Struthio camelus: one gene and its partners. The protein of the gene in region 1 interacts with the protein of each later gene in a pairwise test. Links are inferred from orthologs where the notes say so. Each region holds a gene or a part of one and is shown in the gene's direction. Other genes may lie near its edges. The genes, in order: EPAS1, BMAL2 and BMAL1.

The links.
Region 2: the proteins of EPAS1 (region 1) and BMAL2 interact in binary tests that used the Homo sapiens proteins (3 or more experiments, as listed by UniProt). The link is inferred for Struthio camelus from reciprocal best matches to the Homo sapiens genes EPAS1 and BMAL2.
Region 3: the proteins of EPAS1 (region 1) and BMAL1 interact in binary tests that used the Homo sapiens proteins (3 or more experiments, as listed by UniProt). The link is inferred for Struthio camelus from reciprocal best matches to the Homo sapiens genes EPAS1 and BMAL1.

What each region holds. Positions count from the first base shown.
Region 1 is NC_090944.1:108,882,543-108,886,288, reverse strand, and holds the start of EPAS1 (endothelial PAS domain-containing protein 1), read left to right. Parts: upstream 1-893; 5' UTR 894-1,193; coding exon 1,194-1,219; intron 1,220-3,746.
Region 2 is NC_090942.1:77,266,745-77,270,490, forward strand, and holds the start of BMAL2 (basic helix-loop-helix ARNT-like protein 2), read left to right. Parts: upstream 1-1,184; 5' UTR 1,185-1,384; coding exon 1,385-1,445; intron 1,446-3,746. UniProt on the Homo sapiens protein: Transcriptional activator which forms a core component of the circadian clock.
Region 3 is NC_090946.1:25,523,865-25,527,610, forward strand, and holds the start of BMAL1 (basic helix-loop-helix ARNT-like protein 1), read left to right. Parts: upstream 1-1,498; 5' UTR 1,499-1,598; exon of another isoform or gene 1,599-1,735; intron 1,736-2,118; exon of another isoform or gene 2,119-2,266; intron 2,267-3,746. UniProt on the Homo sapiens protein: Transcriptional activator which forms a core component of the circadian clock.

The sequences.
Region 1 (3,746 bases):
GTAGCGCTTCTTGCCCCAGGAATACTTCACTTTCTTGCAACAACTGTGCATTTTACAAATTTAAAGTTTAGTTATTTATAACTAAAGAAAATAACAGAAATGTCATACGATACAGTAAATAAAATTGGAAAACAAGGAAGAGGAGGGAAGTACTATCGCTGGCTCAGAGGCGCTAAACTGCCTTACCTTGCAGCGCCCCGGCTCCTTCGCACATACCTCTCAGGCCGACCCCCCCGCCCCGTGCGGAGGCGGCCGCCTGCACCGTGTACAGCTCACATCCGTAGCCCCCAAGGCAGCAGGGGCATCGCTACGCGCGCCACTCGCTTACCTTCATTGCAGTATTTATTTATTTGGAAATAAGTCGTTCTCCCCGACACCAACCCCCCCCCCCCGCGTTAGGGGCCGGGGCGGCGGCAGGGCCCCGTTTCTGAGCGGGGAAGGGCGGGCGACTCCGCGGCGGCCCGGGCCGCAGCCCGGCGGGGGGTGCGGGCAGGTGCGGCGGCGTCCCGGTCCCGGTCCCGTCCCGGTCCCCCCCCGGCCGGAGCGCTGCGGCGGGACGCGCTGGGAAACGCCCGCGGGAAAAAGCAACCTTGAGATAAATAAAACCGTAATGGGTGGGGGGGGGGGGGAAGAGGGGAAGAGAAACCAAACCAAACCAAACCAAAACTGACAGCCCGGCGTGAAAGCGGCGAGGAAGGCAGGGCATCCCCGCCGGCCCCACGCGGGTCGGTGCCCGCGGGTGGGAGCGGCGCGGAGCGGCGGCGGCGCTGCCCCTGCCGGCGGCCCGGGCGGCCGGTGCCGTGGGCGGGAGGCCGGGCGCGGCGGCGGCGGCGGCCCCCATTGGCGGGCGGGGGCCGGGGCCGGGGCGAGGGGGCCGGACCTGCCCCCGCGGCCGGCGGCGGCCCAAGTTTTAAAGTGAGAAGTTTCTTCTGGCGGCGCCGCACAGCCCGGCCGGAGCCGCTCCCCGTCCTCTCGTCTGTCCGTCCGTCCGCCGCGCCCCGGCGGGCTGTACAATCCTCGGCAGTGTCCTGAGACTGTACGCCCGCCTCGGGGCTACCGGCCCGGCCCCGCACCGCACCGCACCCGCCGCCCAGGGCCGCCCCCGCGGAGCCGCCGCGTCCCGCTGCTGAGCGCCGGGGCAGGTGTTGAGCCCGGCCCGGCCCGGCCCGAGAGGCGGCGCAGGAGCCGCCGCGATGACAGCTGACAAGGAGAAGAAAAGGTGAGGGGGCGGCGGGCGAGGCTGCGCGCTCCTCGGACCCCTTCCTCCTCCTCCTCCTCCTCCTTTCCCCAGACGGTGTCGCGGCGTCCCGCGTGGGGCCGCGCCGGGCGCCCCCTCGGGCTGTTCCCGTGTGTGTGTGTGTGTGTTGGGGGGGGGGCGTGTGCGTGGGGCCGCGTCCCGCCGGCCGGGGCGGTGCAGGCGGGGAGCCGGTGCGCGGCTGGCCGGGGGTTTCGGGCCGGACCGGCCCGGGCTGAGGCGGCGCTGGGGGGCAGCAGCCCCGGGCTGCCCTGCGGGGTGGAGGCCGGCGCGGAGCTGGCGCCGCGCCCGGGCAGAGCCTCCCCGCGGGGCTGCCCTTTGCCCGGCGGCACCGGGCTGAGCCGCTGCCCTGAGAAACTGCCCCCCCCCCCCCCCCCCGGCGCCGGCCGCCGCTGCCCCAGGGTCCCCGCGGGCGGCTGCGCGGGCCGCCGCGCGTCGGGGGCCGCGTCTGCCGTGGGGTCAACTCAGTGCCGGCGGCGGGGCTTGGTAGCTTGCTATCGATTAGGGCCCCGGTTATTGGGTAATTATTTAACCTCTCGGGTGAGGATGGGGTTTGGAAAGAGGCATCCGCGGCAAAGCATGTTTCATCATAAAAACGGCCCAGGTGTAGTCGACGTGTTGTGTAAACTTTTCGTGAAGCGCCTGAGACTAGTAAATTTCAACATCTCCTGGCTACGGCCTAAGAAGTGGGCCACCTAACTTGGGCCACCTAACGTGGGAGAGCTGACCAAAAAGCGACATCTCGCGTGGTTCGTCACGGTCGAGGAGTGCGCTTGGCACCTTACATGAAGCATTACGTTTTGCCGATTACTGCTTTTTGAGGAGGATGTACAGCTAAGCGTTTCCATATTGCTGTAATGAGTTTTCCCAAGGGAGCAGAAGCACATTAGTAAATGGAGTTTCGTAGTTGCATCAGAGAGTATATTCTTGACGTTAAGCATCAGAAGGAAACGTTCATGATCCCTAGCATAGTGGTTACAGGTGGAGATAAAGAAAAGAAGTATCAAGCCATGGCTCCAAGGCTGTAAACAACTCGTAAGGAGGGGTGAGGGAGCTTACAGGAGTGAAGGCTAAGCAAGTGAATAAAGGTCCACTAAGTTTTATAGCAACCTGTTCTGTTTTATGCAAATGACAGTTATAAGACTGTTCTTGCTATCAGCTCGGGTTGCATCCCTGTTCTGATTTTAGGTTGTGCTCCTAAGAGAGGTGTTTTACGGAGTAAGAATTTTATGTTGTTGTTTGTCACATGCGCTTTTCGGTTGCTGATGCACTATAGTTTGAAAACTGTGTTTTGGTTTGTCAAACAGCTCCTTTTTATTGAGTCACCCTATCACCAAGTAATAGGGGAGCTATTGTAGTATATCTGATACATTTTATACATCTCTAGTCTCAGTTTATCAAGCATTAATGTATTTAGGTTAAAAATTACCTCCAGTGTATTTTGTTCCAGGTGTTATTGTTCTGCTTAAGGCATGAAATAGTGGTACTTTATGCATCCTCTTTTGTCGAAAAAGAGAGTAAAACATTGTATGGTAAGATGTACTTATAAAATGTTTTATAGTTTAGTTTATAGGAATTAGAATGAAATAGCGTATGTATTGAAAATACATCGTTCAGTTCATTCAAAGTATCGTCTCTTTTAATGGGAAACTCTTAATTTCTTCAGTCTTAACCTCTTATTTTCAGTCCCTATAAGAGAATGAGCACTGTCTAATCTTCCAATACATGAAACTTTAAAGTCCTTTCAGAAATATTTTTAAAATATGATATAGAAAAACATTGATGGTCTGAATTCAAATTCTGGCTCTGTCGCTGATTTTAGTAAGTACGGTGACATTCTAGTGACAATTTTCTGCCTCTCTCAGAAGTAGGCTAATAATTGTTATCTGGCTGATGGGTTTGTTGTGTAAATTAATGTTTGCGAGAGCTGGGAGACTATCAGATGAGAAGTGACTTAAGATAGCATGCTTGTGCCTCCCTGTCTATGTGTATATGTATATCACTGCAGGAGTACTGTGTAGCCTACTGGAGCAAGATATGTTTTATTTGCCACTACTATTACAGAACAGACTTACTGCCTCGAGTTCAGCAGTTGTATTTGCTTGATTTCTGTCCAGATATACAGCTGGGAACTCTAACCTGACTTGCTAATAGCATTTATAAATCAATTTCAGGGAGGAAAGGTGGTGGGGGTAATCTGGTTTACAAGATTTGCAGGCAACCCTGGAACACACGCTTAGAGGAGCAGTTCTTTTACTGTTAAACAGATGCTCTACGGAAGATAATCTTTGATTCCTTTTAATAGTCCATTTAAGTTGAAGAGCGTTCTCAGGTTTTCATTTGGAGCTGCTCTGTCACAGGAAAAGACCCAGTGTTTTCTTTGGAACAAATGTTGGAGCACTTCTTAGTAGGCTATCCTACGGATTTGTCCCATGAAAACCTGGTCTAAGGTACTGAGTTGAGATTAATATGGTTATTATTTTAACTCAAT
Region 2 (3,746 bases), on another chromosome or scaffold:
TGATGAAAGAATGCCATATTCTTTGCAACCCTTGAGATACTGAATTGTAAAAGAGAAGCATTCAATGGAACTAGCCTTCAGTGACTAAGTCCTAGGTTAACACATGCATCTGCAGGGTAATCTACGTGCACCCTTTATTTAGGCATGAAGTCAGTGAGCCTGCTGTTCCATCTTTATTAGCACATCTTGTTAAGTCGAAAAGAACCCCTACGACTAATAATAGGCGCGAGCTCTGCAAGTCCACTGTACAGTACACCTGGAGAAGCAGCTTCCTTCACATAGGTCCCCGATCATCTGGTTCCGGCCTTACTGCTGATGAGCAACACCAGCTGCACTGTACATGCAAATTCCCTCACATGGGAGTTCAACAGGTAGCAGCAGGCACGTGCTCAGCCCATTCAGATGGCTCAGGCGAGGAAGTCTGAGGCCTTGGCAACAGTCTGTTCTGCCGCACACAGACCTGGAACTGGGCGGGTAGAGGCTACATCAACATCAACACGTTGGGCTCCTCAGTAAGAGCGGTTCTGTCAAGTGAATCCCCGTGTTGCTGAGGTCCCAACGTCCGCGCTGCAGGTGTCCTAGAGGCTGTATTTCAGACTAGCTCCAGTGAGGTCCCAGGGAGCGAGAGCCCGTTAGCAGTTGGGCCACGTTAAGTGAGCTCTTAACAGCGCTTCTTTAGGTTTCACGCAAAAAGAATATGGTTCGCGTGCTCCCAGACCACTCCAGGATGTGAACCAAACCACGGCGAGGACGACGGGCAGATTCGCTTCAAAAGCGCGCTCCCGATAAGCTGAACACACAACTACACCCCGAGCATCTACTGGAACCCAGGTCCATTCACCCAGTTTCACCTGTTAGTCAAAGCTAACTCTATTTTTGTGTGTCAGCGCGTACTCGTGCGCCTGCCTGTTCTGTGCCCCGCTCTGAGGGGCAGCCGCACGCCCAGAAGGCCGCAGGCGGCCAACCGCCTTCACCCGTTGTTCCTTCCCGGCCCCTCCTGTGGCGGGGGGGAGGCCCCAGCGGCCGTTGGTCCCCTCCCCCCGCACCCTGCGCGCGCCGGGCGGCAGCACCTCCCCCTCCCGCCTCCGCCCGGCCGGAAGTCTCGCGAGAAGTGTCCTGCCGGGCAGGGCAGGGCTGGGGCGGGGCGGGGCGGGGCGGGGGGAGGGTATGGCGCCGGCGGGGGCGCTGCTGAGGCGGCGCCGGTGACGGGAGGAGGGGAGGGAGCCTGTGGAGGCGCTTGCGGACCTTCTCCTCCCCTCCCCCTTTCCCCCCCAACCCCAACCCCGCGCCGAGCAGGGGGGCAGGACGGGCGGTTTCTGCTCACCTTAGTTTACCTCCTGCATGGTGGCGGGGGCGCTGTGGAGCGGGGCACGGGCAGCCCGCCATGGCCGAGGCAGGAGCGGGAAACGCCGAGGGGGCCGAGGAGGAGCGGCGGGCGACGGAAGGTGGGGGGGGGGGGAGCGACGGGGGCGCGCGCGCCGCGGCGGGGGGAGCAGCCGTTGGAGGCGGGGGGCGGGGTGCCCCCGGCGGCGGGGTAACGGCTGTGGGGGGCGAAAGAAGGGGGGGGAGGTGTTGTAACGGGCGGGACTCGCGCGCGGGTGTCGGGGTGTCCGTGGGTGCGTGAGTGGTGCGGGGTGGGGGTGTGTGGGGTGTGGTAGGGGAGGAGGGGGCTTGTGTGCCCCTTGGTGCCGGGGGGGGGCGGGGAGGTAAGGGCGCGTGTCTGCAGTCCGTGCGTGGCCGTTGTTGGTGGTGGTGGGGGTGTAACCTTCCCGCGTGGGTAGGAGCCCCCTTAGGCCGCTGTTTTCCCTCAGCGCAGCGGTTATGCTTCCAGCATGGGGCTGTGTATTCTGAATTGGGGCTGTTCATACTCTGGCCCCCAGCGTGTTGACCTGGACTCGAGTAACGATTTCTCCCGTTTAGTTCAGTTAGGGTACAGTTAGTTTAAGTCTAGTTAAGGTACACAGTGGTGTTAGGTTGTGGGCTCCCAAAGAAACGTTTACACTCTGCTTAGGTTTGTTATTACTGTTACAGATGTGTCATCATACCTCAGTGATCTGCACTAAAAATATTTTTCTTTCTGTGTATTTAACTTAGTATGTAATACACACTTTCTGATATACAACTAATTGTTTTATGTGTCCCTAATGTGTTAGTATTTTTTTTTCCTGCAGGCGGATGTAATTCAGACTTTTGAGTGTAGTGAATTTGGCTTCTCTGTGTGAGTGTGTGTGTGTGCACTTGTATAGAGGCAGAGGTTTGACATTCCTCCTCCTTCATAAGTTTCTGGTGCTAAAACGGGGCTAGTGTTAAGCCAGCAGCAGCTGTTTGTGCTCCTCCTGCTGCAGGAATGAGTATGTTGCTTCCTCCTTTCAAAATGTTGATCTGAGGAGGAAAAAAAAAGATGTTTTGCACGGAGTTTTGAGCTACAGAAGTGAGCAAATCGTTCATAAGTCATCATTGCTGTTCTGTTTAGTTAGCACCAGTTCTTCTGGGTTTGTTGTTGTCTTTTTAATGTGTATTTGGGGGATTCGTATGTATGTGGTTTTTTTTTTTTTATATATATGTGGGGGTTCTGGTTGTCTCAGTAGTTGGTATTTTTTCCATCTCTGTGTTTCTGAATTATGAAGATTAGTTGTTGCTTGGTTGTTTAAATACTGGTATAATTTTGTAATAAGTAATCTAGTTTTTGAAAGTAAAGGTTTTTTTGTAGGGGTTTTTTCTTTTTGCTGTCTATGAAATTGTGTTAAGAATTTGTTTCTGTATCATACACATATTGTAAGAAAAGGAAATAATCTAAATGAAGAAAAATCAAAATATGTGGACTTTTCCATGTGAAAGTATCCATGGGAAAGCAATGAACAGTAGGTTTTTATGTTATATTGTGAAAGAATTCCGCCTGCTCTGATTTCTTTTGTTATTTATGCTTCTACTAATTCTTCTAACATATTTTGAAGAAACAGAGTCTCTTTCTGTTAATCAATTAACATTTTAAAAGGTGTAAATTTTTTAACTTGTATAAAGGACCTAAAGATTGGAATAGGTCAGCTTAGCAGTTTTTCATTTTAACAACATCTTTTTCTTACTATTGCATATTAGGAAAAGCAAACTCCGGACTGGGCAGTTCACATCAGCTAAAGAGTCTAATTCACTGTAAGAAGAAAATCACTTTGTGGGTGATTGTGGGAAGTGAATCAATATCAATACTCTGAAAATTCCCTTCTTTGACAACTGGGCCCGTTAAACCACGGAAGTTCTACTGCAAACTTGACAAAGTTATCATTTTACTCAAAAAAAAAAAAAAATTTGGTTCTAAAACTTACAAGAGAGCTGCTAGCCTCAATTTCTTTAGCAATATATGATCGGAGAGATTTTTTTTTTTTTTAGTAATGAACTAAGATACATGAGACTCTAGATTTCTATCAGTGACCTGATTTGACCCTGGAAGTGTCTGGGGAAGCAGGGTGACCTTTCAAGGGCTTGTGTGGTATCTCTTCACTAGCTGGTTACAGTCAAGGTTTTTAATACACTAATAGGTTTGGCCAAATACTTAGTGTTTGAGATTTATTAAGTAGATGTATTATTTAGTTGGTAAGTTATGATTCTTGACTACCTTTTTTGTGAGTGAATGGTTAAAGTAACTAAGTAAAAATAGATGTATAAAATATTCAGTAGCCTGTATTAATATGTTTAGTTTAAAATCTTTTCTGTAATTCAGGAAATAATAATTTTTCTTTTCACTGTTTCAT
Region 3 (3,746 bases), on another chromosome or scaffold:
GCATCCAACAGGGGCCACTTTTTGGCTGTGCTGAGTTCCAGGTCAATTAGGTGGAAACTAAACCTTAATGCTGTCATAGGTTGAGTTCACATTCTGTGACAGTGGATTAGAATAACCACAACTGCATTGTAATTAGATAATACCGCTACCCACACTTCTCTGGTGATGTGGTATTAGTAAATATAAACCAAACATTTGTGACACGTCATCCCAAGACAGGAAATGTCAATGTTAAGACAATGATAATGTGGCAATGACAATCTGACGTAGTAATAAAACAGTAACATTTGAACAACATTTGCATTTGATTGCAACTACGTTGTAACTTCGTTCTTGCAACACATCCCCTTAACATGCCAGCGTTGTCGCATGGATGATGGTTTTCCGACTCAATTATTAGAAGATATCTAAGTTCGCACTATAAAATGGTGTAGTGGACGGCTTTACCATGCTCTGCCACTGGCCTTTTTAAACACCGAAAAAAATTATTGCAGCTTACAGTGCATTAGAGAGTCACATTCTGAGATGACATAGCATTTATGGCAGTAAAACTGAGGGCAGCATCGTACATGTGCTTCTGTGACATTCTGAAGGGTGCAGTGAAGAAGGAGGTCTCATCAAATATGATGTGCACGTGATGCAATAGCAACTTATAGATGTCATATCATATACAAGAACATATACATACAATACAGCAACGTGAGGCAGATACAATGCTGCGGTTTGCTAAAGAAGGTGGACGTCATTGAGAACGACCTTGCAGTCTACGGATGCAGCCGAGGAGGCAGTAGGATAGAAGGAGCATAGCATGACAGGACAATCATGGTCAGGTCATGCTGAAAAACAGCGAGGGCAGGGAGTCCATGCTGGAAGAGTAATGAGGCACATGCCTGTCTGCCCCGAGCTGGGCAGCACTGCCTCTGGCCAGCTGTGAGAAGCCCCCAGCTCCGTGAGGCAACAAGGATGCTGGAGGTGGCCAGGCCTTAGCTGCCGCCACACAGGCCGGCATGGGCCCTCGCTTTGCCACGGCAGCGGATGCTGGGCCAGAAGGTGGGGAGGGCAGGCCTAGAACAGGCGGTCGCAAAGTGCAGCAAGGCCGAGTGACGTCACGGCAGGCCGCGGTGACCTTGATGCTTCAGAAGTGACGCCACGGCACGGGACGATGTCACACCAATGACGTAGAGCCACGGGTGAGTCACGGCGGCGGCAGTGAGGCTGCTGAAGGGAATAAGGACGAGCAGCTCGCAGCACAGCGCTCCGCCCGCCGCTGCGCGCACCACCAGGGAACACCACAGGAGAAGCAACCGCCAAAACCGCCACGCCGCGAGCGCCACATCCGGGTCCCCCGCGCAACCGCCCCCCCCCCCACCGCGCACGCGCCTCCCCCGCGGCTAGGAGGCGGGACTGAAGGTCCCAGCCGCCTTTCTGATTGGCTGGCTTCTCGGGGGCGCCCGGGGATTAGCTGCTGTTTAGGAGGGCGGGCGTTGCCTGCCCGCCTGGCCGGCCATTGGGCAGAGCCGCCGGAGAGCCGCTCGCCCGTTGGCGGACCGGCGCGTCCGGTCCGGGGCCGAAGGAGGGTGCCATTGGCTGGAAAGTAGGTTAGTGGTGCGACGTTGGGTGGCAAGCCAGGCGGAAAGTAGGTCAGGGACGGGGGCTGCCTGCGCCGCGCGCCGCCGAGGGACAGCGACCCTCTCCTCCCCCCGCCCCCTCGGCCGCGGGGGCGCGTGAGCCCGCGGTGAGCCGTTAGGCGGCCGGTGGGCGACCGTTTGGGGGGCGCGCGGGGGGGGGGGCGGGGGAGAGGGGCAGTCCGCGGCTCGCGCTGGCGAGGTGGCGGGGGTCGCCCCCTGGAGGGCGGGGTTGGCCGGTCCCTCCGCTGCCCCGCTGGAGCTGCCGCCTGCGGCAGGCCACGGGGGAGCTGCCCGCCTGCGCCGGGGGAGGCGGGGGCTGCGACTTCTCCGCGGGGAGGTGGCCGGGCCCGGGCGGCGGCGGCGCCCCTCGGAGCGAGGGGGGCGAATGCGGCGGCCGCGGCGCGGGCCGCCTCGGTGCGGCGGGAGCCGGAGAGGGCGGGGCGGGGCGGGACGGGACGGGCGGCAGCCGCCTCCGCCGTTTGCAGCCGGCCCCGGCCCCTAGGGCAGAGCCGGGGCCGTGGGGTCCTGGCGACGGCGCCTCCTTGGGAGTAAGGAAGGGGCAGGAACGGGGCTCCTGGAGCTCGGGGGTGGCAGCGCTAGCTCTGCTGCTTCCCATCTCGAGTTTGCCTCGTCTAAGGGTGAGTGTGTGGTGGCTGAGGTAAGTCACGGAGTAGCGAGAGGTTGGTGCTCCCTCCCCTGCAGCAGGGATGGGTCCCCTCGGCCTCTGTCCCGCAGGTGATCCCTTTGATCTTTGTCAATGAATCAGGTGCCCTGCGTTGAAGCCAGCTTTATGTGGGGCGCGAGGAGTGTATGTATTTAACACCTCAACGACGGTGGTAGTTGGAAATCTCGATAGACTGTGAGTCTCTGACACGGAGGCCAGTCCTACCTGCAGACAGCTAGAGCCACATGGAGAGCCGCTGTGGGATTTCTTGCTTTTACTAACAGTACAGCCCAGTTACCTCCTCTCCTTGTGAGATGAATGTTTTATGGTTAAGTTAGGGTCCTCAGGCTGTCCCGTCTGGTGCTGTTACTTCTCAGCCCTCTGTGTCTGACAGCCGTATGTGTATCTTTTGCTAAGAAGGAACGTTTTTCTTTGAAAGTGAAAGTAGAATACTGACAACAGTTAAAGTGGCTTCTTGCGATCAGGATTTCGTTTTTTTATTTTTGTGGAACAAATTGTGTTTTTCATGACTGAAGTTTCTGTTATTCCAATGCCTCAATTATACTAGCTTTATAAACCTCTTAGTACCTGAAAATAACGTTGTAGTATTTTTACAAGAAGCAAGTGGGTGTGTTTGCTTGTTTTTGAAGTAGATATACTATTAGCAGTTTTTAAGTAACTTGCTTAGTATCTGGGGTAGAAAAGGGCGACTGCAGATAGCTGTCATCTTTGTAAATGATTTTGAACTCCAGTTTCTTTGTAGAATTCATTCAGGCTTTAAATAAAAATTTCTTCCAAACGTTGGTCCTTAAACATTCAAAATGAAGCTACTTCTTAATTTGTTTTTGATAGGTTAGCATTAAAGTAGCCTATTCTGCCTGTTTACTATAGTTTGGTTTTTTTAATTGAAGAGGTCTTGTAAATGGGAGCAATTGATAATGCATAGACTGCAGCCAGGTCTGTAGGGGGAAAAAAGAAAGTTGTTTTGTTTGCTTCAATTGACTATTAGTACTGGCTAACTGTCTTTGTAAATAGTCTAGCAGAAGGCTGAGGTTAAACATTGCTCCCCGAAGAATGTGGATGTTTGGTATTTGCAAGGGTATGCAAATGTAAATCATTATTTGAAGCGTCAGAAGCTGTAGAGCTCTCATATGACTATTCTAAACCAGTATTTGCCTATTAAGAGGAAAGCTTTTCCATCTTCTAAGCTTTGTGGTTTTATACTTCTCATGACCATTCATGATTTTATGCCTACTTGTGGAAATGGACTGTAAAATAACCCAATAAAATGTTGTGGTTATAGATTAATATATTGTTTCATCCTGTATTCTTTTACACAGCCTATTTCCATTGTCTGTCCCCATCACAGTTTCAGAGGATGGTATCTAGTAAGCTCGAGGTCTGTGTTTTTCTTTTTTTTTTTTTTTTTTTTGTTTTCTTGAAAGAAAAGAACA